Linked DNA regions of Lepisosteus oculatus. The protein of the gene in region 1 interacts with the protein of each later gene in a pairwise test. Links are inferred from orthologs where the notes say so. Each region holds a gene or a part of one and is shown on either strand. Other genes may lie near its edges.

The links.
Region 2: the proteins of smurf2 (region 1) and sparta interact in a two-hybrid assay, tested with the Homo sapiens proteins (2 studies listed by BioGRID and IntAct). The link is inferred for Lepisosteus oculatus from reciprocal best matches to the Homo sapiens genes SMURF2 and SPART.

What each region holds. Positions count from the first base shown.
Region 1 is NC_090704.1:45,611,265-45,626,420, forward strand, and holds the start of smurf2 (E3 ubiquitin-protein ligase SMURF2), read right to left. Parts: upstream 7,373-15,156; 5' UTR 6,829-7,372; coding exon 6,777-6,828; intron 1-6,776. Other genes in the region: kpna2 (importin subunit alpha-1), read right to left, coding at 9,843-9,932, 10,179-10,328, 10,558-10,740, 11,165-11,398, 12,223-12,486, 12,759-12,853, 13,466-13,734, 14,470-14,558 and 1 more. UniProt on the Homo sapiens protein: E3 ubiquitin-protein ligase which accepts ubiquitin from an E2 ubiquitin-conjugating enzyme in the form of a thioester and then directly transfers the ubiquitin to targeted substrates.
Region 2 is NC_090700.1:15,640,674-15,656,999, reverse strand, and holds the start of sparta (spartin a), read left to right. Parts: upstream 1-10,140; 5' UTR 10,141-10,451; intron 10,452-11,482; 5' UTR 11,483-11,484; coding exon 11,485-12,291; intron 12,292-16,326. Other genes in the region: ccna1 (cyclin-A1), read left to right, coding at 6,184-6,348, 6,587-6,821, 7,376-7,491, 7,563-7,786, 7,916-8,120, 8,243-8,356, 8,442-8,575, 8,651-8,702. UniProt on the Homo sapiens protein: Lipophagy receptor that plays an important role in lipid droplet (LD) turnover in motor neurons.

The DNA.
Region 1 (15,156 bases):
CAGCCTTTCCTACACTTCCAAGATAAATCAGAAAAGCTCAACTGCTACCAGACGCAAGATAACGTGACTAGGGCAGACTTGCTCTTCCACATCGAGACTCTGCATTCTTCACAAGATCACTATACACCATTTAAAGCACTATTTGTAAACCTGAAGGGGCAATTAATTTCACTTCTACCTTGGGATAAACATCCGAAGACTGCAGACTTCCAGGAAATCAATCGCCTGAAACACAATTCCATACAATTGAACAGCACAGCCATACTGTTGAAGCCGACTCCCTAGGATCTTTAAAAAAAAAGACTGGATCTGATTCTACGATCAATATGCTACCAGCAACACAAGGTGGAAGACAAGATGAGCAGAACTATATTTGCAGCCTCTCTCACATTTCCGTCCTCTTAATGTGCTGCTTTTGTGTCATCGGCTCCAGGTGTCCAGGGTTGTATCATAATTGTACTCGTGGGTTTCTCTTCCCAATCTGACGGCCAGAAAAACTGCACTGAAGCAGTATTGGGTCTGCGCTATGAACTTGAGCTCTACATTTCTGAACGCCCTCAAGTTTAATTTTTCTCTTAAGCCTTTAACAAGCTCGTTCATGATGGTGACCTACATTTTTACAGCTGGGCTTTTTCACTGCAGCAATGAGGGAAGTGCCTCGGTCACATGTACAACACCAACATCGCCAACAGGGATTGGGACCCCGGGACCCTGTGGTCCAGAGCCCAGAGCCCAGAGCCCAGAGCCCAGAGCCCAGAGCCCAGAGCCCAGAGCCCAGAGCCCAGAGCCCAGAGCCCAGAGCCCTAACCAGCACTCCACGCAGCTGCCCTAGGTTCACTCCGAACTCGCACCATGCTAACAAGAAGGACAACAGCCAGGGAAGTCATCCAGCACACCACTGCTGCAAACAGGAAAGCAAGATCCAGAACCTGTGGCCATCACTGCAGGACCTCAGAGGGGCAGTTTCCTGTGCTGAGAAACCATGGCGAAGAAGCTGTTAAGTGTAAGAACATGAAAGCTGTGCGCACCTCAGCGTTATAATAATAATAATAATAATTGCTTACACTTATATAGCGCTTTTCTGGACACTCCACTCAAAGCGCTTTACAGGTAATGGGGTCTCCCCTCCACCACCACCAATGTGCAGCATCCACCTGGATGATGCGACGGCAGCCATAGTGCGCCAGAACGCTCACCACACATCAGCTATTAGTGGGGAGGAGAGCAGAGAGTAATGAAGCCAATTCATAGATGGGGATTATTAGGAGGCCATGATTGGTTAAGGCCAATGGGAAATTTGGCCAGGACACCGGGGTTACACCCCTACTCTTTTCGAGAAACGCCCTGGGATTTTTTAATGACCACAGAGAGTCAGGACCTCGGTTTTACGTCTCATCCGAAGGACGGCACCTGTTTACAGTATAGTGTCCCCATCACTATACTGGGGCATTAGGACCCACGTGGACCACAGGGTGAGCGCCCCCTGCTGGCCCCACTAACACCTCTTCCAGCAGCAACCTTAGTTTTTCCCAGGAGGTCTCCCATCCAGGTACTGACCAGGCTTACACCTGCTTAGCTTCAGTGGGTTGCCAGTTGTGAGTTGCAGGGTGACATGGCTGCTGGCCAATGTTATATACCGCTGGTGATATTCTATGTACTGTTGCGTGTATCGTATTTTTTGTTGTTGTAATAAAAAAAGAAATCAATTTAAAAATATTAAAAAAGTGAAGAAGTACTTGGTCAGCTGTCACTTTGTTGAACAACTGAGCTAAATAATGTAGTACAAACCTCAGAAAAAGATGCAATTTCTTAAATGCACCTCTAGTCTGAGCCAGATACAGATCCAGGAGGACCATGCCAGAGTAAAGAAGCATTTACAACATTTTCCAGGACTGAGCCAAGAGCAGACATGTGCTCTTTAAGAAGCCGAGCAGACCATGGCTTCTAAACCCGCAGAAGAAGAGACGGCTGAAAGACTTTTTTCCTCCATACGAGAGAGAGACCGAAGCGACCGGACCCAGGAAACCACAGTTTACAGGACAGACTGTGGTAGACGCCGAGTTAGGAGTGGTAGAAGAGAAACACGAAAAAGAGAAGAAGATAGCTTTGTGGAACTGAGACAAAAAAATCAGGAGCAAGCAGTGGTGATAAATATCAGCCAACATTACATCAAGTAACACTGACCACATTACTGAAAGCTAAAGGTTAAGGGAAACAAGCATTTTGCAAAAACAATTTTAAGCTATAAAAAGTTAATTCCAAAAGGAATCAGGTAAGGGCCAGACAGTCTGATTCTGACGGGGATCGCCAACGTGCTCACTCTAGTGCTAGGTACTGTATTAGACCTATTCATTTCCAAGGGTCTGTGAAGATCTGAGTTGTGCAGAATTACAGTTAATGTCCATATGAATACTAAAGTGCCCCACAATCAGAAAGTCTAGATGAGAACAAGCAAGTTGAAGTGTTTGAAATTCTAAATAGTGAAAATCTGTTTTTTTTTTTATATTTGTACAGCCAACTGAACTCCTCTTACAGATGACCCATCTTGGCTAAGCCTGAGGTGCTGCTCTCTAATCTTTGCTACCGAACGGGAAATAACACAAAGGCGAAGACCGAAGTTAAATGCTTAATGCGAGGAGACCGACTCCACATTTAAAAGAAGTCGCTTCACACCTCTCTTGGCAAAAAGGGGTACCTCTCATGCCCTCCTAGCCCCCCTCCTCCCCTCCCTAGCCCACCAGAAGCAGCGGCGAGATCAAATATTTATGTTGGCTCTTCCCGACAGATAGAGAAGCCTTGGAATTTGCTCCGGCCCAAAGCCCAGAGGCACATCAAACAAAGGATCCCGTCCTCCGTCTCCCTCCACCAGTCAAAACAATGGCTTCGCGTGTAAGCGTTCACATGTTTATGTTGTTAGAAGCTGAAAAAAACAAACAAGCCTCTTGTGAAAAGAAGCCCCCAGCCCCCCCCTCCCCTCTGCAGGCCTGCCCCTGCCTTTCACCTGCAGGAGGCGCAAGCACGCTACCTCTTCCAGCAAAACAAAAAAACAGGCTGGTCCAGGTCACTTCTCAAGTTTACATCCTCGATGTGTTCCTGCAGACATCCGGACAGCACTGGACCATAAAGGTAATACAGATTAAAGCAGAGCTGCAGCTCCCTTACAACCCATTTACTGAGCTGGACGCTGGAAAGAATCAGAAATGATATACCGAGGGTGTGAACTTATAAAAATCAGACAGGATATGTAAAACATAATGCATTTTGCCATTTTGTCTAATTCAGACCTTTAAGCACTTATTCAGTATCACGAGCTGAATAGTTTGAGTCTGAAGGACTACTAATAGGTCATGTAAAGGCTACAGGAAAGATCAGAAATACCTGTGGGTAGTAAAACAGCCATTTACAGATTTCCAAGAGAATACAACACAATAAGTAAACAGAATCGAAAGGCAGGCAGTCGTGTTTGAGACCAGGAATGAAGAAGTAGTCAAGAGCTTCACTTTTAATTTAATGGCAAGCAGGAAACACAAGTCTTTAATTTATACAACAAATGACATAAGGCGACAATATCCCTGTCAACGCAGCAGCCACAGTGCGACAAGCGGAGGGGAGATGGAACAACTCTCATCCGCATCAATTCACGGCCTCCAAGGCCACCCGATTCAACCTGCTCCGTTCGCGAGCTCCGGACCGGACGGGTTAAACGGTACCAGCTTACTGGCCGGTCAGTGACGCAACCCCAGTGCCAGGAGCGCTCAGCCAGGCAGGCAGTGAGCCCCCCGCTCCCAGCGCTCCGACAGAAAGCCGCTTGTTTACAGAGAAGCAGGACACCGCTTGGGCCCGGCTGCCAGCCTGGTGCCAAGTGAGCTCCCCAGAGCCGGGCTTCGTGCTGCCGCCGGAGCGCTGGGAACGGGCGCCGAGATCCTGCTAGCAGACTGGCACGCACTCGGAAAGGCGGGGGGGAACAGGAGAAGGAAAGCCACGCTCAGGGCAAGCCCACAGACAAAAAAAAAAAATAAAGAGAAAGAAAAGCTCGACTTCCTCCGACAAGCTGGCGAGAGGCGCTGACTGGACGGCATCGCCAAAGACGGAGTTTCCTCCTTCAACGCCGAACTGCGTCAGGCTGCCAAAGCATACCGGCACGCCCTGCGTTCGCGTCCAAAGACCCCGGAAAAAGCTGGGTGTCCCCGGGAAACCGCCCGCATCCCAGGGCACCCGGATGCCCTTCATGGCGTCAGGAGGACCAGGCTCTCCTGCTGTGCTCACTTGGACCGGTGAGGCAGGAAGGGCCGATCCAGCTCTGCCAACACCCTTCAGTCCACGGCGCACCCACCCAAAAATAAGGCAACAGGTTTAAATTACCCGGCTGGCTAACCAGGGCTGAAATGGAATCATGCTGGTTTCCAAAGGGAAGACTCCTCCCCTTCCCAGCACCCAGAGCTCCTTCGCTGCGGGCCATGAGATCCCCTTGGGATCGCTTCCTCCAGAAGCGAGGGGGTCCGCAGGAAACAACCACGCTGCAGGACCCCCAGACAAGCAGGTGACCTCTGGGCTTGTCCTCCCTGCCCTAGAGGCCATGTCAGAGTCTTACCAGTCCATCAGCAGAACCACCCCGGAACACGTCCCGGCCAAGAAAGCCAAGAGGACCTAAACCCACCCCCAAATAAATCAACCGTTCACTCCCGATATCATTCAGCAATAAAACAATCACGCTCTATCGCCTACCCGTTTACACGAAAATGTAAAATGAAATAGTCCTTCTGAAGCAGAGGATCTCTGGAGCGCATGGAACTCATTTTAAAACTCGGCCTCCCTTACGTCAGGGATCAAGAATGTTTTTTTTTTCACGTTCGTAACCTTGTGCAATACCTTCTTTGGCATCGAAAAATCGAAAACTATATTCTATTAATAAACCGTCGAACTAAAGCGGTAGCTAAGGAAACACTGGTCCCCTTTGGAAAAACAAAAATAACTGAATCAAGTAGACAATTCACAGCGACCAGCCTCATGCCTGGGAGAGACCTCCACAGACGAGTCTGCTGAAGTTCGTCTTGCAACAGATCTACCAGAATAAACTTTTTCTGTCTTTATCCCGACTCGACTAAGCCAAGCGCGTATATACACTTCTTTTAAAAAAATCGTTACAACGTACAGACGTTTCAGTTTATTTAAAAAGAGAAAAAAGTACTTCCAAAGTACGACAAAATCTAACACTTTCGTTTTGTCGATACTGTTTTTTGTACTTATTTGGCAAAACATGGTACTGTCGGTAAACTGTTTTTTTTTTTTAGAGTTTAGAGAATTTAGAGAAACTATTAGGAATTTGCAGGCAACGTTTCTTATTGACTTCGGAGTCGCCGAGACCGCCTCACTTTGCGTCTTCACAAGAAGACGTCCTTGTTCAAAAGCAAACAGATGTTTTCGAAATGAGCACGACGTGAATACTTTTCAAACTCAGCTGTGTTTGAAGCCCGGATTGCTTCGCTTGAAGACATTAAATCAGCGGTAATGGCATATTAAACTGGGACATCAGTAACACATTTCGTCTGTAATAACCACACCCCCCTAACAACCACTGAAACACGTAGATATTATGGAACCATTGCGAAACGGGACCAGAAACATCAGTCTCCATCTCCAGCACCTACAAACTTCTCAAAGATACATAGAAGCCACCCATCCATAAAGTTATTTGTTTTAAAAGCTGATCTCCGAGGGTGAACAGGGATAGTTCTACTCTGCATACTAGCAGTAGGAACGAACTACTACAAATAAGCGTTTCAGAAAACTGCATTAAAACCTTTGAACTTAACTGAACTTTCTTAATTTAAAAAAAAATAACATTGGAAAAACGATGAGGGCAAACACCTCCACATCTTAAACGATGTTATTTAGGAAGCGTTTAATCGTCGTTAATTTTCTTTAAACAAAGCACGACGTGCGGACGGAAACAAACAGTATTTTTTAAAAAGTCGTTATCAAGTTTAAGCTTATATTTTTTCAGTTTCTATTTGACTTCTAAGGCCACGCAAGAGCGAAACCTTAAAACTTAACAACTTTAAGTTTTTTTTAATCCAGAGAAGATTCCCCCCCCCCCTCCCAAAAAAAATAGGAACAGACCACACTTCCAGAAATGTAATTAAAAAAGCTGTTCTCCAGGAATTACTTTCAAGCAAAACAATTCTTACACCTAGGGCTCTCTTCAGTTTTAGAACCGATCGGTTTCAACACAAATTAGCCGGACAACAAATGCACTTCCCTCCTTCCTCGGCTATTTACAAAACTGCATATAAAACATTTTTTAAAAAACAGGGCTCCATTCTGGACGTTTTTAATGCAAAAAAAAACCCCGAAGCGCGTCACACGATTCGATGATTAAAAAGGCAGAGTACCCGGGCGAACAAACTTGCTGGCGCACGGCGCACACCGCTCGGGTCCGGACGGGTTCCCCGGGTTTATTTCAAAGCAGGAGCAGCAACAGTCACGACCAGGCACACGACAACGGCTAGCACTCTCCAGGGCAGCTCACCGCCGCCCTCCTCCCCTGCAAGAGCCGCCGTGTCTCAGCGCTCAGTGGGCAACTTGAGCCCCTGGGCCACGGCGGACAGCACACGGTCGGCTCCGTTTCGCCCACAACACAGGAACGCAAAACTCCCCCTTTCACACGGACACGTCCAGGCTGGGGACAGGGGCGCAGAGCCCAGGCGCTCCCGACCTTCTTGTTTTCTTGCCATTTATTTTTCCTCTAAAAAAAAAAAACGGGGGGGGCCACCTACCTGTCAAACGCAGTTTCACGGGGCCGTTCCTCCTCACCCCCTGGTTAGACATGTCCTTCGCCGCTTTCCAGCTTGAGTTGCGACGCTAGAAAATATTTACAAAGTATCTCTCTTTTTTTTTTCCTCCCCTCCGCCACCCCCCTCCAACCTCCCTCCTCCTCTCCTCTCCTCTCTTGCTCGCCAGCTTCACAGTGGCTGAATAATGGAGTCACGGCCCGGTGGCCCGGATGTGCGTCGCGCTACCATTATTTCACCAGCGCCGACACGCGCGCCCCCCACTCTCACGCGGACAGGAATGCACCCCCTCTCGCGCGCGGCGTCCTCGCGAAATGTTCCCTGCCTCCCCCGAAAGACACAGGTTCACCCCCCCCAATGCCGCCGCGTCCTGTTTGCAGAATAAAAGCAGCAGCAATAATAATAATAATAATAATAAAAAAGGCGAGCCACGTTCGAGCGCACTTTTCTCTTCCTACATCTCCGGGAAAGACGGACGCACTAGGACGTCGGCGGCACTCTGCACTCTTTCCCACCGGGATCGGTTTTGGAGTGAGAGTGGAAATGGAGTGTGTGCGCGTCCGCGCAAGACGCTGGGAAGAAAAAAAAATAAAAAAAAAGCTCTTCCCAGTCAGCTCCCCCAGACGGCTCTCCTCCTCCGCAAGACGGCTCTCTGCTGACCTCTCCAGACAGACGCCGGCAGCTCTTGCGAAATTACAGAGACGTGCATCGGGTCCCGCGACTGTGCAAACGCGATTTTTCTTTTTAAAATAAGCCGAAAACGAACGTCCCGCAGCCCCCTGCATCGGGCTCCCCGTCATCCTACACGATGCACACGTATCGGTGATGGCGCACGCTGGTGTAGCTGCATTCGCGGTTAACTTCAATTGTGTAGCTGCACAATCATCTTCCATCCAATCCAGAAGTTCCGTGATGTTCAATAGCATCAAGTTCAAGTTTATTGTCATTATACTCGTACACTGGTATATGAACAAGTAATAGGTTTATTCCATGCTGAAAAAAAGAAGAAAGAGAACACAACGTTTCGGCCGTGGAGCCTTCTTCAGGTGAACTGTACCCACCTGAACTACCCACCTGAACTACTACCACTGGTATATGATATAACGAGATGCTATTTAGCTAGCTCTCAGTCGGTAAGTAGTACAAAAAACAACAACAATACAATTGTATGAGAAAAGAAAGACAGAGACAACAGGCAGTGTGCAAAACACCAACAGGTGTGCAAAATCATACATCAACAGAATGAAATAAAGGATAGGAAATTATGGGGAGTGAACTTCTTGACGTGAGGTAGAGGTAGATTTCAATGTGTGTTTGGGATTTGATGAAGAGGGAAGGCACTGTGAGGGTTCAGATTGTAGGTGAGAGTGGCTGGGAGTTTAATAGTTTGATAGTGCGGGGGTAAAAACTGTCTCTGAGGTTGGTAGTCCGGTCCGAATGCTCCGGTACTGTTTTCCAGATGGTAGAGGGTCAAACAGTCTGTAGCTGGAGTGTGTGGGGTCTTTGATAATGTTAGAGCTTTCCTCAAGCACCGTCTGTCATAAATGTCCTGTATGGATGGGAGAGCAACCCCAGTGATGGACTGGGCAGTTTTCACCACCCACTGTAGGGCTTTGTGGTCAGCAATACTGCAGTTGCCATACCACACTGTGAAGCAACCTGTCAGTGGGGCTTTCTGTAGTGCATCTGTAAAAGTCAGGGAGGATCTGGGGAGATGTCTTAGCCTTCTTCAACCGCTCACCACTAGAAATCAGTTGCTCATACGGCTGACCATAACAAGAGGGGGAAAAAAAGAACTTGGTTTGCAACACCAACAGGATATGTCTCTTAAAATGTAGTGTACAGGAGCAAACATCAATAACACGCTGAAACACTGAAGGAAAAAAAAACGTTTCCGTGGACACCCTAAGGCTGAAGAAATGCCACACGTCGTAGAGTTAACTGCTACCTGCTCACTCCAACCTCTCTACCGCATGTGGGACGTCCTGTTCCCTTAAACTGATTTCAGGAATCCTGCCTCCAGCTCCCCCTGCAAGCACACCTCAGTCCGGTCGGGTCCAGTTCCTTGTATTCAACACCTTGGAGACCCATTTTCTCCATCAGTGAAGTGCAGCAACACCTCCAGGTGTGTCATCCTTGCTCCAGTGGCAGCCCAGCTACACAACAGGGCAGGCAGGCACTTCACCAGTTAAATTAAGGGGAGACGAAGGCTAGCAGGCACCATACAATCAAAACACCAGTTCACACCCTGTAGCTCTTAACAGCACCCTGGGCCTTTCGGTGACCAGGTTAAAACTCACTGAAGGGACTAACACAGCAGTCCCTGCTCAAACTGGGGTACTACTTCAGAAATTCCAGGGCAGACAGGAGAGCACGTATTGATCTCCAAAAAACATTTAGAGTAAGAGAGGCCAGGCCAGGCCCAGCCTTGCTTTTCATACAAAACCAGAGTTCTGAGCAGACAATTTACAGTAGTCTGGTGCAAGAATTCCCCTGGATCTTTCAGATATCCTACAGAAACCGCTTCCCTGTGCATAGACTAACCATTGGAAAAACCCCTCAACTGTGGTTCGAGTAGGCAGATGTGTAGACCGCAAGAGAACCAGAAGGCTCCACAGCCAAGACGTTTTCATTATGGAATAAACGTTTACCTGTTCCTTAATCCAGGTTGTCAAAATAGCTCACAAACATGAAACTGGATGCATTTAGTCTCATTCAATTTACCCGTCCAGAAATCACCATCAACCGTGAAGTGTTATCCTTCAGGGATAATGAAGGACTTCAGCAGAAACCAGAACTTGTCCCTTGTGGACTTCAGAGCCAAGAGCTCAGGGTGCAGCTTCATTGTGAAGATCAAAGGCACAGATTGCAGACGAGTGGAAACATCAGTCCTTCTAAGCTGCATTGATAGACACTTTTGAAAGACGTATCTAATAAACTTTATTTACATTTCATACAATAAAGGTTTGACAGTCACATCAGTAACCTGTTATATACATCATGGAAAACACTGCTACACATATAAAAAAGACAGACAGCATAAAAAAAACTCTAGAAGTTGAAAGTGCTTTCAGCATCTTGGACCTGGAAGGCATAACCATCAGTCGTAGCTTCAGGAACAACACACTGGTCTTCCTCTTCCTGTGGCAGAGGAGAGAGAGAGATGAGTACAAGCTGGTCTGACCCATGCATGTTCTGAAGTAGTGAACAAGGCACCTCTCATTCTCCCAGTGAACCTCGAGCTCGTCGTCACAAGTCGAGCCACACCAGCCCACAAGGCTTGTGCAACTGGCACCTCTTCAGACAAGCATCGCATTTCAAACACCAGTAGTATAAATTCCACCAGACCCCCCCCAAAAAAACCCAAAACTTGTATATTATGCTCACCTCTCCAGAGAAGTATTTATCGATCAGGTGTAGGGCAGCCTTGTAGACCATCTCGTTCTCATGGGACTGCAGGGCTTCAATCTTATCCAGGCCTCCATACTCCTCGATCATCACGGCCAGCTTCTCCACCTCCCCCAGCTTCTCGCCAGCCTTCAGGACAAGCCCACACACCGCTGGTTAAGAGTGGCAGTAACAGGGGGCACCAAAGAGCAATGGGAGCAGCACTCAACACCATCGCCAAGCATGAGCAAAGATCGCAATCTGCCCCTTGGTGACCACCTGGCTTGCACTACTCCCCACATGCACATCACTAAACAAATCAAGATCAGGGGACATCAGTCGTACCACTTCAGAGGCAGGTCCAAAGCTCAGCACGTACCAGGAAGATGTTCGAGATGGCATCCAGGATCACAAGGAGAGTTTTGCTGTCCTTGGTGGACAGAAGGTTCAGCAGGGGCTCCAGCACGTTGGACTGAACCAGGTACACCACCTGTTCCACTGTCCCCCCGCTGGTGTAGTTGGTTATAGCCCAGACAGCCTCCTTCTGCGCCTTGTAGTCACCCTGGGTGGGGTAAACAGGATAAGAAAAACGCAGATTTACATTTTAAAATGATACCTAAAAAGTAAAAAAAAAAGACTGCCCTATAGTTGTGGACAAAGGTTTTGCATTTCAAGATTTAGCAGAGCTTTTGGCCAAAGCTGTTAACCCCCCCAAAATATAATCTCCTTCAGAGCCAACAAAGAACCCCAGAACACCAGCTTACTCTTGAATGACTTGGGGCAAGGGCACTCTTGGATGACTTGGGGCAAAACTTTGGCTAGTTTTGTTCAAGAAAGCAATCTAGTCATTCTAATCTGGTGCTGGGTCCATGGTTCTTGGTACAAACAGCTGAGCAGGTGAACAGGTCAGAGTAGCTACAACAGAACCCAGACAACTGGACCTCAAGAGGGAAGCCCCAACACAGGGAGGGGCAGCACCGACCCACCTTCTGGAGCACCTCCACCAGGTACGGGATCAGCCCGGCGTTCACAACCTCCTGGATCTGGGTGTCGCGCCCGGCGGTGATGTTAGACAGGGTCCAGGCGGCCTCTTTCTGGATGTTGCTCTTGTGGTGCCTCAGCAGGGCTGGGAACATGGCCAGAGCTCCGGAGTCCAGCACTATCTGGGTCTGCTCATCCGTGCCGGTCACTATATTGCCGATTGACCTCAGTGAGGGAGTCTGGAGGGAAGGGGGTAGATAAGCTTTACAATTCAAGCAGACCTTCAGTTACCAAGTAAGCAAGGGACAGATCCCCATCGGTACATTTACCAACCACTGTGCAAGATGCATGCACCAGTTAACCCCTGTAATACCACCACAAGAGATCAAGAACACAAGCTACCAGAACAGTTCAGTTGTCTTTACAGCAGTCGCAAGGACATTCACATAAATCTGCAAGAACCTTAAATGCAAAAAAAAAACCCCAAAACTTAAAAACAGGAGGAGCCATCTTTAAACCCACTGTGTTGCCCTGTGCCCTTGAGATGACAGTTGTTTTTAACAAGGCCCACAGTCTAAAGCAATGGCTTTCAAAGTGTGGTCCGCAGACCACCAGTGGTTCGGGAGCTGACCTAATCTCTTAAAGCAAGCCTAAGCTCTTAAAGTCGGAGGAAAGAATGGTGTAGTGTCCACTACAAAGGGGCTCCCCCTAGGAGCACTGTTAAGAACTGCAAGCTATAGTAGGAGGTTCAAGGGGTTTCACCAGCCATTCCGATTGCTCAAGAAAAGCAGCTCAGTTTTTCCCCACATTAACTGTAATAACCACTTGCAAAATATACAGCTTTGTTTGTAAAAATTTGTACTTTTCATAAAAAGTAATTGGTTATTTTTTGTACATTCCTAGGTGATTTTTACAGGGTAAGAAGGGGACATAGGCATACATGGTCCACTGCATCTGTGACTTAGTGTAAGTGGTCCGCGGACCACAGGCCTTTGAGAACCACTGGTCTAAAGGAATACAAGCCGTCCCGAGTCCGTGGGGGACGAACGAAGACGAGACGTACCACAATCGGAAGCTCTCCGGAGCCGAGCAGCTGGACCAGGCGGGACACCAGCCCGGTCCGCACCACCACCTCGATCCGGTCGTTGGGCCCATCGGTCAGGTAGGACACGGCCCAGCAGGTGTCGGCCAGCACCTCCCGGTCGTCATGGTGCAGCAGGCGCACCAGCGTGGGCAGCAGCTGCTGCACAGCCGCCAGGGGGGGCGCTGGGTTCTTGTTCCGGCACAGGTTGGACAGGGTCCAGGTGATGTTGCGCAGGTACCCGGACTGGAAGACACGAGGGACAGGAGAGTCTGCACGTCACGCCTGGGGAACTGGATTGTGAGCCCCCAGCGCCATCTAGTGCTCAAACCAAGCGAGCGACCCGGAAGTGTTCATTCACCAACAGGACGCCCGAGACGTGCAATACAGGACCACACTTTCCTGGATAAGAGGCTTGGAGGAAAGGCTTGAATAAACATCCAAGTCTCGGCTCTGAGAACTCACAGGAGCCCCATCACACGATCCCCCGCAGTAAGCCGAAGCCGAAGCGCACTTACCGACAAGGCCGACAGCTCGGGAACAGCGAGCAGCGTGACAAGGGGATCGATGGCTCCGTGCTTAATGACTTTGTCCCTGTAAGCAGATCCATCACCTGAAACGGGAGGAGGGGGAGGAACACCGCTGAAATTCCTGCCACAGGAACAAGTCCTTCCAGGTCACAGGGTTCACCCCCCCCCCCCCCACACCCCCCTGGGAAAGGGGAACTTGCTACTGGAAGAGGGGTCAGTGGAGCCAGTAGAGGGCACTCACTGTGCCCCAGTATAGTGACAAGGACAATACTGTAAAAATGGCACCAACTTTTAAATGAAAGTTAAAACTGAGCTCCTGGCTCAGTGGTTATTTAAAATCCCAGGGTGTTTCTCTAAAGGATTAGGGATGTAACCCCAGTGTCCTGGCCTAATTCCCCCCTGGCCTTTATCAATCATGGCCTCCTAATAACCCCCCTCTCTGAACTGGCTCCATCACTCTGCTCTCCTCCCACTGAGAGCTCGTGTGTGGGGAGCAGACTGGCGCATCATCCAGGTGGGGCTGCACACAGGTGGTGTAGGGGATCCCTGCTACCTGTGAAGCGCCGAGATTGGAGTGTCCAGAAAAGATGTATGACAAAGGATCACCCCTACCCCCACCCAGGGACAGTGTTCCCCATCTGGCCGTGGGAGAGGTGTAAGGATGCTGCTCGAGTGGAGCCGAGCTGCAGACCCACCTGCGATGTTCCCCAGCGCCCAGATGGCCTGCTCGCTGATGTGGGGGTGCGGCGAGAGCACGAGGCCGATGAAGGCGGGGATGGCCCCCCCCTCCACCACGGCGCGGGTCTGCTCCGAGGTGCCCGAGGCAATGTTCGTCAGCGCCCAGGCGGCCTCGAACTGGATCGGGGGGCACTGGGACACGCCCAGGAAGGCCACAAACTTCGAGATCAGCCCGGCACCGATGATGCTGTCGATGGGGGGGTGCCTCTCCCTTGAGAGCAGCTTCCTGCAGGCACGAAAGAGGGGGTTCCCATGCTGAGACAGGACCCCAGGGACCCGGGACCCCACTCTGCACGCGTGCAGCCAATGCAAAGTGCTGCAATAACGCCAAGCCTTTGCTTTCTCGCGAAAAGCACTGTGGTAGAAGCAGTGGCTACCTGGATCTGTTCAAGGCTATAGCACACCCTGTGCCCATTAAGGTCCAAATGAAAGATGCAGCCCACTGAGAGCCCATCTGGGTCCAGAGTTCTGATCAAGCCACTTCTCAGAAGGACAAGCACCTGGCTTTGGCAACACAGCTCAGTAGGTAGCTCAAGACCCACGACAGCAGGGGGGGGGGGGGGGGGACGTTCACATTTTACAACAGCTGAGCTCCCGCACATCCGAGTAAGGGGGCAAGTGCAGCCCCCCCCCGTTGTCTTGGAGAACAGAGTGCAGGGACACTCGTGTCTGTACACGCGTGCTGACAAACGGATCGGACGAGAGCCATGCCAGCACTGCAGGGCTCTTGCAACAGATTGATCGGAATACCCCGGCGCAGTACTCTCCATTGACTTCAAAATGCTTCGATTCACAAGCAGCTTCAGGACCGATTGAACTAGCATGGTCTGCGGTCTTAAGACCGCTTGTCAAGAGACATTTAAAGTTCTACCCCCCCTCCCGCCACCACAGACCAGGCTGCTGCAGCAGCAGCGTCTGGTCCCCGGGTTTTCAGAAACACTCATAGGAGTCTGTCCGGTACCTCGCCGCCTGAGTGGCCTGCAGCTGGAGGTCGGGGTTGTTGCTGTTCACGCCATTCAGGATCTCCTCCACCGTCCAGTGTGGCGCCCCCTACAGCAAGAAAACAGGGTTTTAGGCGGCTGACCCAGTCGGTGGCTCTGGGCTCAAAACACGTCAAGGCACCAGCGCGCTCACACGGGGAGAGAGCCAGCAACAAACCCGTCCGAAACCCGGGCGGTTCCGGGCCCGGACGGGCAGCGGTAAGACCCAACCACCCCCCCCCTCCGCGGCGAGAGGCCCAGGGCAGGGAAGGTGACCGCCCTAGGGGCAGCTGCCCTAAAGACAAAACGGGGCGGCACCAACCCCTCTAAGGAAGGACAGTTAGGTCTTCCTGCGGCAGAACCTGCCGAGACCGGCAGCCATGAGCGGCGCCGACCCACGCCAAGCGCGACCGCACGTTTTTACGTTCATTAAGGAAACCGCAGCGACAGCCACGGGACCCGAGAGCCCTGGCGTTTCGAGAGAAACTCTCCCACCCCACCCCTCCCCTCCTCCCGAGGAGCCGGGACCGGGCCGGTACCTGTCGGTTCTGGTTCTTCTCCTGCAGCGGCGAGGTGGCCTCGTCCGGGAAGCTGCTGACGTTGCGCCGCTTGAGGATCTGCTCGTCCTTCTTCGCCTTCCGGAGCTCGACGTTCACCTCGATCCGCCG
Region 2 (16,326 bases), on another chromosome or scaffold:
TAAGATTCAGCCATAGAAACAAAGTCATAAAATATTAAGTTCTGAGCATTCCTGTCTGACCATGTCTGCAAATCGGAACAGTAGGAGAATACAAACAACCGATGCCAGCATACTGTTAAGTGTAGGCTGTCTGTGTGCTAAGCTGGTATAAAGTAAGCTACAGTATAATGTACATTTCATAAAAGCAATTGTGTATGTCTCTTTTGTGCCATCCTCTTCAGTCATCAGGAGGTAAAGTGCTGAACAGTCCTTTTAAAACACTTGCAAATGGAAAACAAGACTTGTGCAAGATTTATAGTCTGTAAAAAGCCACGGGCAATAAAGTTTCTGAAAAAAAATAATCTAATACCAGAAATTTTGGATTGGTTGGCTGATTTCCCAGAAAAATGGGGCCCCAGTTTGCATTTACTTCTTTTTGTTAATAATGACCTTTCAGTTAGAATGAAAGGCACCTGTAATAGCCTGACTAACAATATTCTCTGATTTCTATAGAAGATAGGTTTTTCATTCATTTTCACTCACAAAAGGAGTTAGAGAGAATAAAAACAATCAAACTTTCAATCTGTAGATCTGTCAAAGTACTGTTTTAGTGCTTATTCGATAGTAGTTTAAAATTACACAGGGAAGTTGAAAGATGAACAGTGGTCCACCTTAAATAATAATCTCCTTGGTACCCCATCATCAGAAACATTTCTTTACATCACTTTATGAACCTCTTTTTTAATAAGACAAATAAAAAAGAGAAGCTTAGATATAAACATACTGCATAGGGCTTGAAGTGAGCCCAGTCTTCAGGGCAGAAGCGGGTGGGGGGGAGGGTGGAGATGGAGATAGACTGCCACAGAGAGTCTGGTACTGACCAGGAGAGTAATAAGCCAGTTGGAGCTGTGCTGGAGTCTTTGGCTTGGCAGCGTGCAGAACAAGTCGCCACACATGCCTCCACATCTGCCCTCATAGATGGCCACCAGTCTGGATGAATAGCCCCAGTTTAACACTTCTGGCTTGACCTTTTGGGGCACAAAGTGTTAACCCGGTGGGAGCATCAGGAGGAAACAGGGCTAGAGACTAGGGAACCCTGGGAGCACAGATCCTCGACAAGGTGTCAAGTCCTGTTCTTCGTTCCAAGGAGAAGAACGGGGCCCAATGCGCTTGCCAATGGTTGCATTGTAGTTTCTGAAAAAATAATTAATCTAATACCAGAAACCTTTGATTGCTTGGCTGATGTACTGTAGGTTTTAATAGTCCGTGAAGACCAAGAAAGGTTGCAAGGCTCCCCGTAGGAGGTGTCTCCACTCTTTTGAGGCTCATCTTGACTGCCAGCAGTTCTCAGTCGCCCAAGTCATAATTGTGCTCCACCAGAGTTTCCAGGACAAGGCACACAGATGGATCTTGGGTGGCAATCCAAAATTTTGAGACAGGGCTGCACACACTCTCATATCAGATACATCTACTTCCATCTCAAAGGGTAATGAGGATCCAACTGGTGAAGGATTGGGGCTGTGGTGAAGTGGCACAGTTTTCTTGCAGGCCTCTTATGTGTCAGGGCTCCAACTGCCCTGGCCAGGCCCCATTCCTGGTGAGAGTTATGATAGGGGATTTTGTTTTGGAAGACGGCCGGAACATTGCACAGGCCAAAAGGCAGTACTAGGTGTTCTTAATGCCCTGCTTTGGTATTGAAAGACGTCTTTCACTTGTTGCCTTCCCACGAGGTGTGGATCAGGTTGTGCCCCTCAGATCTACTGTATTTTAGTAATGATGGAGGACTTGCTGGCCCTCTTCAGCAGCGATGGAATCAGAGGTAAACAGTACCAGTTCTTCTTCATGATTTTGTTTAGTTCCATGTTATCAATACAGGGCAGAAGAGGTCCATCCTTCTTTGGCAAGACGAAGAAACTGGCTCCATTGGGGAAGAGAATGAGGGAATGAAGCATGTATGGAGGTTTTCCTACATTTACTGTATATTTCAGAGGCTGACAGACAGACCCAAAGTGATGTGGTCAATTGAGCCATCAGAGATGGATGAGGCAGGACAAAGCCAGAGGGGTGGAAGTTAACCCAGCCTTTAGGGAAAAAAACAAATAGGGGTAGGGGCTGCACTGCTGTGAGAGATCAGCTCCAGTGGTCGGGACACAGGTTGCTGATAGGCAGAGCAGGTTCATGACTAACTGAAATTCTTCAAGGAGGATTGAGGTTGAGTATTCCACTGTGACACGGGTTAGTACTGTTTAATGAACTGCCTAGGTCTGAGGATTGCTCAATGGTAGAGCACTGGATCAGTGGCAAAACAGTGGCAAACCCATTGGATTGAGCACATGTTAATTTGGTTGGAGGGGGCCAGATCACCCTGAGTGAGTCCGAGCAGCCCCGGGTGGAATGTGGCTCATCGTGGGAATGTGTTCAGTTTTTGAGGAAGCCAACGACTGTGAGCTCTCACCCACCAGGGAATAATACATACTGTACCTTCAGCATAAGAAATGTGTCCTACTCTTCTATTGCACGTACAGTAGTTAATAGTAACATCTGTTTAGTATTCAAAATTCTAAATAAGACCACCTAATATTTTCTACAATATTGTGTATTATAGAAAATAAATTCACCCTACCCCACCTCTGAAAAGTGATTGATTGTTGCATAGCATTAGGATTCTGCAGCAAATGATAACGTTCTACTGGGTAAGCAGTAAATCCAACGGATTTATTCATATTTTGAAAAAAAAACGCATTCTATGTCACTGCTCTGCTCCTGCAGAACAGATTTTTTAATCATTCTACATCTCTAATCTATGTGAACAGTCACTGATGACTAGTTTGTGTTTCAAAGCATAAGTAAATCTCCCATAATTCCATTCCATTATCCCTTGCAACTATTAAAAACACATGTTCAGTGATCTCTCAGCCTGAGATGAACTCTGATTAACATCTATTGGCATATCACAAATAAATTAAGCGTCTAGGTTTCTTGGACTGAGATCAGGGACAGAAGAGTGCTCTCAGTCAAAAACAGACTATGAAGAATCAATACATGTGTACTCACATAGCTACTCAGGAATTTTCATTTATTTTTTAAAACAAAATCTGTGTATTCATATAAGTGTTGTTACTGTGTTTGGTTACCTGTTTAGCCAACATGGTGAGTCATGGTAAATGGTGTTATTAATCTCTTAATTCTGCAGTAAAATTGAATGTGGTTGGACATTTATTAGCCATATGCAGTAAATACTTACAGAAAATGTATTGGATTCTGATTTACCAATTTTGATATTCAATGAAAGTTACAGATCATATGTTCATCATCACTTGATCTTGGACTACCTAAAGTAAGTGTAATATGCTGAATTTATTCTAAGTCCATTATAAAACTACCTCTGTCATTTTCCATCCTGTTTTTAACTACTTAAAAAGGTGTGTGCAATTATTTACAATTAGACATTGAATCTTGAATGGTCAGAGAGAACAATCACCTGTATATATGATTTCCATATGTTTCTCAAACGTGAGTTTCTTGAGCAGATTACTATTTAAAGGGTTAAATAATTATAGGGATTTATTATTTGTAGATTATTCTGTTCCCAGTCATTTGGTCAGTACATTGGGTGTAGAAAGATGTACAGTTTTTACAGGCATAGAGAGAAATACTTATACTTAGCCTTATCTATCTTCATTGAATCTGGTTTACCCATGATTTATTATAGTGCCAAGGAACATGTTTTGCATTTTATTTTTCATTGATGGCCTTTAATATAATAGATCATTACCATTTAATCTTCATTCATAACGTCTTGCCTTTTCTCTGCTGTACGTTGATCGCACTGAACTTGAATATCAGTACTTCATTATTTCTTACACATATTAAATCAGTAGCCCTTGCTGCTACACTAAGCAGTACTGAAACACATTTACAGTATAAAGACTAATTATTCAGTCATGATAAAAAATGTTGTAGGGAAGATTAAACAACAAAAGAATGCACAGCCAAGAACATTAGATAGAATATTAACAGAACATCACCAACAATGGTTAAAGCTTCCCTGTTAATGGAAAAACACAGAGACAACACCATTGTTTTAGACTGTGTGACATTAATAATGGCTTTGTTGAATCCTGAAACTGACACAACAAACCAAAAATAAATACTTTTTGTTTTCTTAAAACTCAACCTATTGAGACAAACCTTCTAAATGACAAATCGCTTACAATACGAACATTGAAAATGAAAAGTCATGTCTTAAGTCATGATCATCACACCTGAAGAAGGCCCCACGGCCAAAACGTTGTTTTCTTTCTTCTTTTTTTCAACATGGAATAAACCTACTACTTGAATCATTACAATATGTTCAATAAATGTGTTTATGTATAACTACAGAGGTTCCTGCATCAAAAATAACGATCATGACTCTATTAAAAACACAAAATATTAAAATTGTCTTAATGTCCTACAAGCATTTCAGAAAGCAAAAACTTACTTTCCTTCATTTAATAATAATGTACAAAAAGTATATAAACACAAACACTTTCTTTATTTCATATCATCAGTACACATGCATGAAAAAATAACCTAACTTCTAAATTGCTAAGTCACAATGCAACTTAGTAGGCTAATAGATTGATTTAATATAGACGAGACGATTACTGCTTCCCTGTATCATTTATTACCTGCTTTGCTACATTACAGTTTATAAACATTTTTGTGTACAAAATAAATCCAATGCAGAAGTTAAAATTGATTTTGAAAGTAACAGCTGTATTATAGATTCCATCCAACGATTTTCAAACCATGGCTTCCGATTCAGGGTCACAGGGGAGCCTGCATGGAACGCCAGTCCACCAAAGGACAGCCACAACCACACACTCAGACCAGGGTCATTTCTCCCAGAAATTAACCTGCCAGTACTCTATTTTTCTGGACAGAGGGAGGAAACTGGAGCACCCAGAGGACTCCCACATGAACTTGGGGAGAACATGCAAACACTGTGCAGACAGCACCCCAGGTCGTCCGGAGTTTAACCCAGGGCCCCAGGGCTGTTAAACACCCTGCACCGCTAACCCACTGCACCGGCCTGGCGTCCTGTTAGATATTTCTGAAAGTTAAATGCATCTTTTTATCTGTTCACCCTTCTGCCTCAAACAAGCTCTTGACTGCTTTCTATCCATGCAGATCATCTAAAATTATATTATATGACAGGCATTAAAGGAGGCATATGGAAATACTAGATGTGTACTGCACCAAAAAAATCACCAACCGCTATAAAGCTGGCATTTAGAAACCTAGAGGAAAGAGTCAAAGCTAAAAATTATCCAGAGCAGCAGTGCAGAAATTCTTCACACATGGCTTAGAAATCAGACATTACTGAGAGAAGAGTTTGCCGAGAAAATAACTATACAGACCCTCTTTTTGTGTGCAATGTTTATTTAAATCAGTACAAGAACAAATGTCATGTGTGCATTCCAATTAAACTGATATAACTGATTTATAAATCAGTATTTTAAGCATTTTTTTTTGGTCTAAAGAAATAAAGCGGGCATACAGTTTCAACTGAAGTGTCGCCATAGAGATAAAACACCATCACCTGTAATTTCTATCAGCTGGACAATGAAGGAGACGCACAATCATGCAGGTGAAAGCTTCTTCTGTTGCTGTGGTGACGTCTCACGTGTCTGATAGTTGGACTTTGATTGGTCGAAACCTTCGAAAGCGGTCTGATTGAAAATAATTACTATGTGTCACTGATGGACCCACAACAGCTGAGTGTACAACATGAGCTGATAATTACGCTTAATTTGAATTCAGGTTAATTTTATGAGAACTATATATAGTCGAAGTGACGCCAACTTCCTTAAGGGAGGATTTTAATGTAAAGTAGAAATATACTCTGTGGCTGCAGGGCGTGCATTATCTGGATTACGCGAATTAAAAGGTTTGAGAGGTTTAATTTTAATTTTCGCTCTGTGCTACTTCTAATGCGAGATGTTCATAACTTCTGAAGGCGACCGTGTTGTTTTAGTGGTGAGCCTATTTGTACGCGAAAACGTACGTGGTATATTGGCTTCCTAATTTACTGGCTAACAACTTGCCACACGGGCACGGTAAAAAGCAATCCAAGTAGAATGACATGCATGGCATCTTTAGAAACTAACGTAGTTATCCTAATTTTACTTTTCTTGCACCTAAGCTGATCATCTGGAGATGAGTTATTTCCTGGTTGGGGGCTGCAGGAACAAGGAGAACCTGGCTCCTATAGTACAGAACTTCATGGAAGTACCTCGCTCACAGTGGGATTTGAGGCCGAAACAAAGGGCTGTACTAGGATCTCTAAGTGAAAATGATCAGCACAGCAGATCATTTGGTCAGGTGAGAGGTTTTTAATGTATAACTTCAGCTGCCTTGGGTCTTTATGCACTTCATAAATCAATCTCCTAAATTGGCCAAGGCCCTGTAAGAGATTGCATATTTTGGCTGTCTGATTTAAGATTAATCCTAAAACAGTTTAAATGTAAATGTGTACCTAGCATTTGCATTCTGCTCTTGGTCTCATCCTAGCTGGCTTGATGTGCCCTGGCAATAACTTGTATTACTTAACCCTTTTAAGGGCACTCTGCACTCCAAGAATGGATCGCTTTGGGATAATGCATTCCCTTCATCCCAGAAGATGGCTTTTCCTACTTGTCCCTCTACATCAAACTTTGAAATCTATGTGGAGGAACCTGATGCGATTGTCCAGTCTGTCCCCAGCACACGACTGTCTGAAGAACCACCGCTGCAATATGAAGAGTCCTCCATGTTGGAGCACAGAGAGTTCTGCCTCTTCTTGGACCTTAGTTCGGGTAAGTAGTCTCAGCTACAACAGAACTGAAGATGGCTCCCCTATATTCAGAGTGGAAGTGCAACATGTTCTTGTGCAGAGCTATGATTGGAAAATGGCATCTCAAGTCTAGCTCTGCTTCATTTTATGTTGAGCATCTTTTAAGGTGGCAGGGCCCACTAGATCATGTATTCAAAGGACTTATGGTTTTACATGCTTTTGTCTCAATGACTGCCATTAAGTGAAACTATCCAGTTTCACTTCATTCCTAAAGTGAAGTATCCATCTATGTACAACACATCTAGGGTTTAAGTAAATTTACAAAGAATAATGGTTTGTGTTTCTGTGGTTCACCACACTGGATCTTTTTGTTGGAGTACTTATTTTCTTTAAATATGATTCATGCACTTGGCCTCACTTGTGCTGATTGCTGGCCATTTAGTAAATATGCAGTTGATTTTTATGCATGAACATCTTATTACCACTAATGATAACTGCAATGGACTAGTCAATATAATTACCCACTTGTAATGTTGCACAGTCACTACACTAGGTACTGTTACCTGCTTTACTCAGCAGGGTCATGCCAGGATGCATCCATGCAATCTCAACCAGAGGATGAAGAGCCCTTGCCACCTCCAGATTCGCTCGAATATGTGAAGGACATCTATTGCCACTTGAGGGAGAGTGAGGTGGGTTCTTCATAATTGGTACCCCCCTCAGGAAATGGGTGCTTATCCCTAACAAGCTCTGTAACCTTCAGGTCAAGTGCAGACCCAAGCCTGGGTACATGAAGAAACAACCGGACATTACCAACAGCATGCGCGTTATCTTGGTGGACTGGCTGGTTGAAGTTGGGGAGGAGTATAAACTGTGCCTGGAGACTCTCTACCTGACTGTGAACTACCTGGACAGATTTCTCTCCTGCATGTCTGTCTTGCGAGAGAAGTTGCAGTTAGTGGGGACAGCAGCTGCTCTTCTTGCGTCGTAAGTACAGGGCTCTTGGGAACCTACCTGCTCATTGATGAATTCCAGGCTGAGTAGATGAGCACCTTTTTAAACTAAAGATGGAGAGTTTAGAGGTGTTCATTCCTAATGCGCCCCTGCATTTTCTAGGAAATATGAAGAGATCTACCCCCCAGAGACTGACGAGTTTATCTACATCACCGATGAAGCCTACACAAAGAAGCAGCTGCTACGGATGGAGCACTTGTTTCTCAGGGTCCTAGGCTTTGATATGACTGTACCTACAACTTATCAATTCTTGAGGCAGTTCCTGACTATTGAAGCAGTCTGTAGTAGAACAGAAAACCTTGCCCTAGTAAGTACACTTGGCAATTTGGCTTTTAAAACCAAAGCCCTTGTGCAGATCTGGCACTTCGCCAAAAGATTGGGTGAGGGGTAACCAGTTAATGTTTCTCAAACCCAGTTCTTTGCTTCCAGTATGTATCTGAACTAAGCCTGCTGGATGTGGACCCTTTTCTAAAGCATCTCCCATCTAAGGTTGCTGCAGCTGCATACTGTCTTGCAAACTACACACTTAATGGGAGACTGTGGGTAAGCTCCTCTCTTATACTTGTATAGCTAAGCATTCTAAAGCCTTCTCTGTGGCCGGCTAAATGAAGCTTCTTGTCTCAAACAGCCTGAATCTCTCTGTGCTTTCACTGGTTACTCTGTACATGAAATTGCACCTTGCCTGCAAGATCTTCACAAGGTGTATCTTGGTGCAGCTGATCGACCACAACAGGCCATGAGAGTAAAGTACAAGAGCTCTAAGTAGGTGAACTTTTTTTTTTAAACCACTCCTGATTTGTGACATGATCTGTAGTAATGATTTATCCTCCTTTGCAGGTACTGTGGTGTATCTTTAATAAGCCCTCCAGACTCCCTCCCAGTGCATTAAAGGATTCCACTAGCCCTCCCCGGAATGGATCATGTGAACAAATGGCACTTAACTTGGCTAAAGTTGATTTTGTACCCTTGGGACTCCAGGAGATGACCTGCAAGTGCCTCAGAACTTTTAATCTTTTTATTTTTTTACAATGTTTATGATGGTTCTGAGATGGCTGTCAAATGAACAATAAAATTTTATCCTAAGTACCTTCTGCTTGCTTTTTGAACTCCTTCACTGAGTACCCTTACCTGCTTTAAGCTTATGTGCTTAAGCATTAATGGAAGGCAACTACATTCTTTGCCATTTTCCTTGTATCCCTTACAGTAGGCTGCCATTAACCCCCCTCTCCCTGATACTTCAAATTAAAAGGGGCTTTCAGCTGAAGCCTTAATGACTTCATCACCTTTAGTATTCCTATAGCAGGTTAAGTTGCTATAGATGACTTAGTCTGTCCTTAGAAAAGTTGCTGCTACCTGGTTTAGCAAAGCATCCACTAAACTATTAAAAGGTGCCTTCTGGAGTTTTTCCCTACTTGTTGCATCCAGCTGACCTATGACTGTCTGTCAAGCTTTCAATAATGTGGCTGTACTGCACCTGTAGATCCAATCCATGCTAATGGCTGTTGTTTGCATGGATGTGTTGTGCTGGAACTGTAAGGATTATTCCACCCTGTGTTGAAATAATGCTCTAAGTGTTTGAGTTAGTTACTGCAGCTTTATGCTTGGTGAGTTCAGATCCATGTGCCTATTCTGTGTTTTCCATGTAAGAAAACATGGAATCAATCTGGTCAGATTAACTTGACAGTTTTGACACTCTGGGATCTTGATGCCTAGAAAGACATCTCTTTATATAACTTCCTTCCCCCCCCCCCCACTCTACAGAGTAGTGTACTTGCAAAGCGATGAGTCTTATTGCAAGGGTTTTGGGGGCACAGTCTGAGATCTTCAATAACTAGGTACTGGTGTACTATTCTTGGTGCTATTGGAATGTCAATTTACTACTCAAAATATATTAAATATACCTGGATTATAATCCTGGAGGGCTAAACAGTTCAATGTGTAAATTCTAGTTGCAGTCCTTAAATGCTATTGCACTAAATAAAGATATGACTACTTTGAATTTGATCAAATAACCTGCTCTTATGCACTTTGAATATTGTAGAGCTCTTCTGAAGTATACAGTGCTTTTCTGCCTTTATTTTTAAAGTCCTGATGAATGGGTTATTCTTAAAACATAACGGAACTTGTCGAATTTTTTTTGGTGCTTTTCAAACGAGGTTGAAACGAGTTTAAGATTCTTAAAGTGTGGTGTTTTCGTCTTTGAAAGTTGATTCGAAGGATGCCTGGGTTCAACCAACTAAAGGAAAGGTTGCCATCTAGCGTTTCCATCAGGTAGCGCTCGTAGTTGAGGTGTTTGTCCTTCTGTGTCTGCCGTAGCCAGTGGAACTTTCTCGGACAGGTGATGCGGGCGGGCATATGACCCGTCTGGGGATAATCACTTTAGACGTAATCAGGATTGGATTATATACGACTGCGAGCTCTAATAAACCTGTATGGTAAACTGTTTAAGATTATATTGGGTTTCTTGAAACTGAAGAAATAAAGGGGGTTTCAGTTTTCGTTACAATATGTTACACATCATGTAACTATTTTTCTCTATAATTTCTTGCTACCTCTGTTAAAGGCTTTTTAAGAGGTTACTGTGCTAATATTTCGAGAAGATTTTGGATCCGCCAGACAAAGCTACAGTACTAGACAGGTAAGATGTATTAGCCTATACGTAGCTAAAGATGTTCTTTTCTAAACTTTAGTGATAGTTTAGGTGAGATTTAGTTGGTTCCCATAATTACATGGTTAGTATAGAGTTAACTGATTAAACAAATATAGTTAAAATGTGTATTAAAAGATGAACCTCGTGTAGACCTGGTTGAAAGGTTTAGTTCTTTGAAAGGAGCAGGCGATACGATTATTAATTACTTTTTAATACAACATTGCCTTTTATTTTAAACATGTTTAAAACTAAGACGTCACCCAGCAGCATACCTGGTTGTTAACGTATGTTTTTTTTAGTCACTAGATTAAAATCCTGTGTTCCCTACAATCCGAAAAGCCCCTGATTTGGGTTTTGAAAGATGAATGTTTAAAACGTGTGAAACTGTCACGGGGTGTTTCAGGAGCGACTGCATACTTTTAATGACGTCTGTGAGATCCACCGTTAACCTGTACAAATATGTCTGCAATGCATTGTTTTAGTAATTTGGAAATTGTCATTCTATTTAAACGTGAAATTTAAAAACCCTGAGACATGTCCTCCGGGAGCTGTCTTGGATTGGCTCGAGTAACTACAGCAGTAGCGGTTCACGCCTAAAAATACTTAGATTTTCCAAAGGATAAAACCGAGATTCTCTGTTGAAACTGTGTAGACGCTATCTGCTCCTTTAACATTAGGCATAACCCAGTTTTGTTGTAAACAGTCTCTGTCTTGCCTGAAGCAATAATGTGTTTCACCCGGATCTTCAGTAGAGGAAATAAGGCTCACTCTCGTACCATAGGAGGCTCTTGAATATATAAAAAACATGCTCACTGTGTGATACTGGTGACCTTTTGTGATTAGATATTCTCTATAATGTGAGAAGTAGTAAAAACGAAATACCTTTTTTTTCAATGGGTTGGAAATAAATTATAGAAATCTAATGCACTGGAAATCTAATCACCTTCAGGAGTCCCTGAAATGTCACATTTTTCTTAGTGTGTGTACGCCCATTACTCTGCATTTCTGATGGTTAACAGGCATGGAGAAGGTGGAAGCAGAGGAGCAGAACGATGCCAGAGTGCAGGTCATCAAAGAGGACTACCAGAAGGCCTTCGAGTTCATCAACAGGGGGCTGACGGAGGATGAGGCAGGCCACAAGGCCGAGGCCCTGATGCTCTACAGGCAGGGGCAGCAGCTGCTGCTCAGGGGGCTCAGCGTCCCCTCTCGGGGGCCCGAGTGCACAGGATCTAGGTGGGAATCTGCCAGGCAGATGCAGCAGAAGATGCAGGAGACGCTGACCAACATCACGACCCGCCTGGTGGCGCTGGAGCCCGACGGAGCTGGGACAAGCCCGGGTCCCGCCAATGGGGAGCTGGGGTCAAGGAGCTGCGACGGTTTGTACCCAAAATTGCCTTCAAAGGAAAGACCAGACAGGCCCCCTCCCCCAAAGGTCTTGTTCCCAGAGGGTCAGCCTCCCGGGGCTGTAGGCGGGGTGCCTGTCCCTGGAACTGCCCCCACGTGTCAGGGAGTCTCTGGGGAGCTGCCCCCAGCCTACTCTCCGCAGGCTGCCGATGGCCACTTCACCATCTCGTACGGGACGGATGCCGGGGAGCTCTCCCTGGTCGGAGAGAACTTCTACAGCTCGCTGCCCACGCAGCCGCCGTCCCTCCAGAGCCTGGGGGAGGATGGCGAGGAGCTGCTCTTCATCCAGCAGGGGGTGCAGATCTTCTTCGTGACGCCGGAGGGCCAGGTGAGCGCCCCGTCCTACCCTGGCTACCTGCGCATCGTCAAGTTCACCGGCGACCACTCCCAGGCGGCACCCCGGCGGCCTCCCGCTTTCCTGCAGGTGAGGGATCTTTAAAACCCCACATCTTTGTGGGGGTGAAAAAAGAGCACCGGCATGCCCTTTCTTTCAGTGATCACCCTATGGCGGTTTACTCAAAAAAAAAAGAGCCTTTCTCAGCACAAGAAGCATTCTCCACCCGCTGACATTTTAAAAAATGCTTTGGCATTTGAAAGATTATTTGCGTTTGAGTCCTGCAGCTGGCAAATCATTACTCTGCCGAAGCTAAAAAGGTAAAAACTGTTAACTCATGAAGTTACAGGGGCAGATTAAAGGAATGTCAGTTGGTGAAAAATGACATCAAAGCTGGAGAGACGGTATGAATGTTAATCGGCAGCCTTTATTAATGTGCAAGTAAGTCCCCTTTCTTGAGACAAAGTGTAAGATTGAGACTTCAGTTGGAGCTTGGCAGGAAAGGTAACTTAAAAGGCATCTTTTTATTCACAGAATGGAAGCTTCCGTCCTTTTAAGAAAATTGGTCTTCCGTTAACCTGAAAAACGGGTTTCATATGGTGCCCCGTAACATGGTTTTCCTGGTGCTGTTTCTGACAGCTGACATTTAAGATTTGTTTTCTTATTCCTGTCTTATTGTATTGAAATAGCTGGTTACAGGATAAAATTAGTCACAGTAGAACAAAACTATCGGCACTATTCAGAGTCAAGCAAGGGATGCGCCTTACACAATGAGTATTTGGTGACATTTGTTAATAACAGTATATTTTGAATATTTTTATGTTTTGTAACGTGGACTGTGGTAAAAACCTCCTTTTTGCGATGAGCAAGTGTTACTACCCACTTGGCCTACCTTGCAGTATTTTAACTTAAATTTAAATCTTTTTAAACTTGCAGTATTTTAAAACCCCTTTTCTTTTAATTTTATTAGACTAATTTAATTTGCAGTTTTACAAATAGATACTTTATTGATCCCGTGAGGGAAATTGCAGATATATTTTAGACATATTAGATGATTATGATTTATTGAGGACATTTAGCAGCCTGCTAACACTTACAATAGGGAGAAAAAAATTAATACTTTCAGTTTTGAAGAGAAAAGGGCATCTGATATTAAAACTGTCATTCTCAAAAAAGAATAAGTTCAGTTCTCTTGCAGCATTAAACAGACAGAAGGGAATAATCATCAGCATGCAAGCAATAAGCAGACATAAGTGATTGCTTCCTGCAAAACAGGATCTAACACACAGAAGTAGGTCAAGAGTCAAAAAGCTTACTACAGCTAATGCCCAAACATGGATATTGCAAGAAGGTAAAAATGATGTTTTCATACAGTAAATGTGCTTAAATCACATCTGAGAAGAGAGAGAATTTCCTCTAACAGAACCTGAAATCAGGAAGGTGGCTATCAATGTGAGATTTGATCTGTGCCACATAAGCAGTACATTGACCTGGGTACACTGAGGTCTGTTGGCAAGGTGGTGCGGCACAACAGAGCTCTGATTACAAGGTAGAGGTCGACGATTCAAGAGAGGACTTGCAGAGGTGCATGAAGCTGTTAAAAGAAAGAAAAAGAGTCCCCTTATGTGATTCTTACTGTAGCTCACACAGGCTTTTTGTACATGAAAGTTCAGAAGGACATACAGTGGCTCCAGACTTTCATTCATTCCTGAACAGTCAGCGGGGAGTTTTTTTTATCTAGGTTCAGCTTCAGAGATCACGAGGGTGATTAAGTTTTATTAGTTAATATATAATTTTATCAAAGGATATGGTTGTTCTTATATTGTATATATTTTAACTTTTAATTTCAACTTAACCAATTACAATTCTTGGTAATTGCTGGCAAAACTGGATCAGACATTTACTTGTTACCGTCTTAAAGTAGTTAGCCTTATCAAAATTAGACTGTTGTTTATTTTCAGTGGTTACCTCATTGGTACTATATCTGATATTACCCAAAATCGTAGACTTTAGCACATTCCCTTTGATTACTTAAAAAATCAAAAAGGTCCAAAAATGTTATTTTCATGTGATTTCTTTATTAAATTTAGCTTTATCTATGTAAAATGCAAACCCTTAAATTGTCAGTTTAAAGTCCTCTTAATTGACTATGTGCATCAGTTAAAGCAGGTGACTTCAATTCCTGCAGTCTCAGGGTTGACCTCACTGTAATCAATAACACATCTTGTTTACACTGGTCCTAGCGACACTGTAAGAGACTGCTGGGTAATTTTAGTCAACGGCAGAGATCAGCTGATATAGTTCTGTTGCATTAAATGTGGCTCCGCATTCCTGCCTTTTCAGATCACTTGCATATTATGAAGCTGCATGTCATGTGCAAACACACAACTTTCCACATTTCTAAAGCAAAGTTTGTTAAAAGAGACCATTTTGAAAATACTTCCAGGGATTTGCCTTAATTTGTTCAGAACGTCATGGTGCAGTGTATCATATGAAATGAGCTGTTTCTGATAACTAACAATGGAGAATTGTATTCTAGCTCTTTGTGGGACAGTTCAGGTGTTGGAACTATTTTCACCAAGTTTTCTAAAAGAAATGTGAGAGCCATTTTTATGGTCACAGACAATGCTCCATCAGACCCAAGAGAAAGTCACATTTGTTGTGACTGGAAAATGCAATTGAACTGTCCAGAGAAGGACCTTTTAATTTAATCAGTATCCAAAATCACCCATGCACAAATAGTATAGTAATAATGATTTTGATACTCAGTATAGATTTTTTTTTCCACCCAATTTATCTAATCACCAATGGTGGTAGATATTTTTCTTATTGCTATTAATGTGTTTAAGTATGTAAGGCCACCCAAACAACAATATCAACAATCACTGCTGTTTATATTGATACATACGTACATCAACCCAAGGAGACCATGCATAAAACAGAATACACATTGTAATTAGAACTTGACCATGAATCAGACATTTTACCTTTAACACAGAAGTCTGTTTTAGCACAATTTGGAAATGTGGTATTTCCTTTCTGAGGCAATGAAGATTTTTTAGTCCCACAATCTTTGCCTCAGTTACAAGTCAGTGCTCTTTGTGTGAGAGAGCTACAGTCTATCTACAGCTACAGTTTGCCAGCAGCCATATCACCCAGCAACTTATAACTGGCAACCCAGTGAAGCTAAGCAGGTGTGAGCCTGGTCAGTACCTGGATGGGAGACCTCCTGGGAAAAACTAAGGTTGCTGCTGGAAGAGGTGTTAGTGGGGCCAGCAGGGGGGCGCTCACCCTGCGGTCCATGTGGGTCCTAATGCCCCAGAACGCCGGAACGTCTATAGTGACGGGGACACTATACTGTAAACAGGTGCCGTCCTTCGGATGAGACGTAAAACCGAGGTCCTGACTCTCTGTGGTCATAAAAAATCCCAGGGCGTTTCTCGAAAAGAGTAGGAGTGTTACGCTGGTGTCCTGGCCAAATTTCCCATTGGCCCTTACCAATGATGGCCTCCTAATAATCCCCATCTATGAATTGGCTTCATTACTCTGCTCTCCTCCCCACTGATAGCTGATGTGTGGTGAGCGTTCTGGCGCAATATGGCTGCCGTCGATCATCCAGGTGGATGCTGCACATTGGTGGTGGTGGAGGGGATTCCCATTACCTGTAAAGCGCTTTAAGTGGAGTGTCCAGAAAAGTGCTATATACAGTAAGTGTAATAATAATAATAATAAGCAATTATTTTTATTATCTGCCAAACTGAAAAGGTAAACAAAGGAACAACAAATTTGTGCACACATCCATCTATATATAAAATGTTCAGTAACATTTCAAGTAACACTGGAAAGCAAGAAGACTAACATATGAGTGAACATTTGTAGAAAAAAATCTTAAAGTTCCATTAAAAAATTCCATCTTTGTCAACTCAAGATGGTAGTTTTATGTTGCTCAGACATCGAATTTCAATTCTTTAATGGATTTTTGAGAATAAAGAGTGTTTCTCCTTGTTATGCATCCTCTTGCTTTTGAAGTATGTGATTTAATTGAGATTTTTTTCTTTTCTCTTCATGTCATCTTGGACTCTTGATAAAGACATTTTATGCAAGTCCCACAAAGTTGAGTAACTG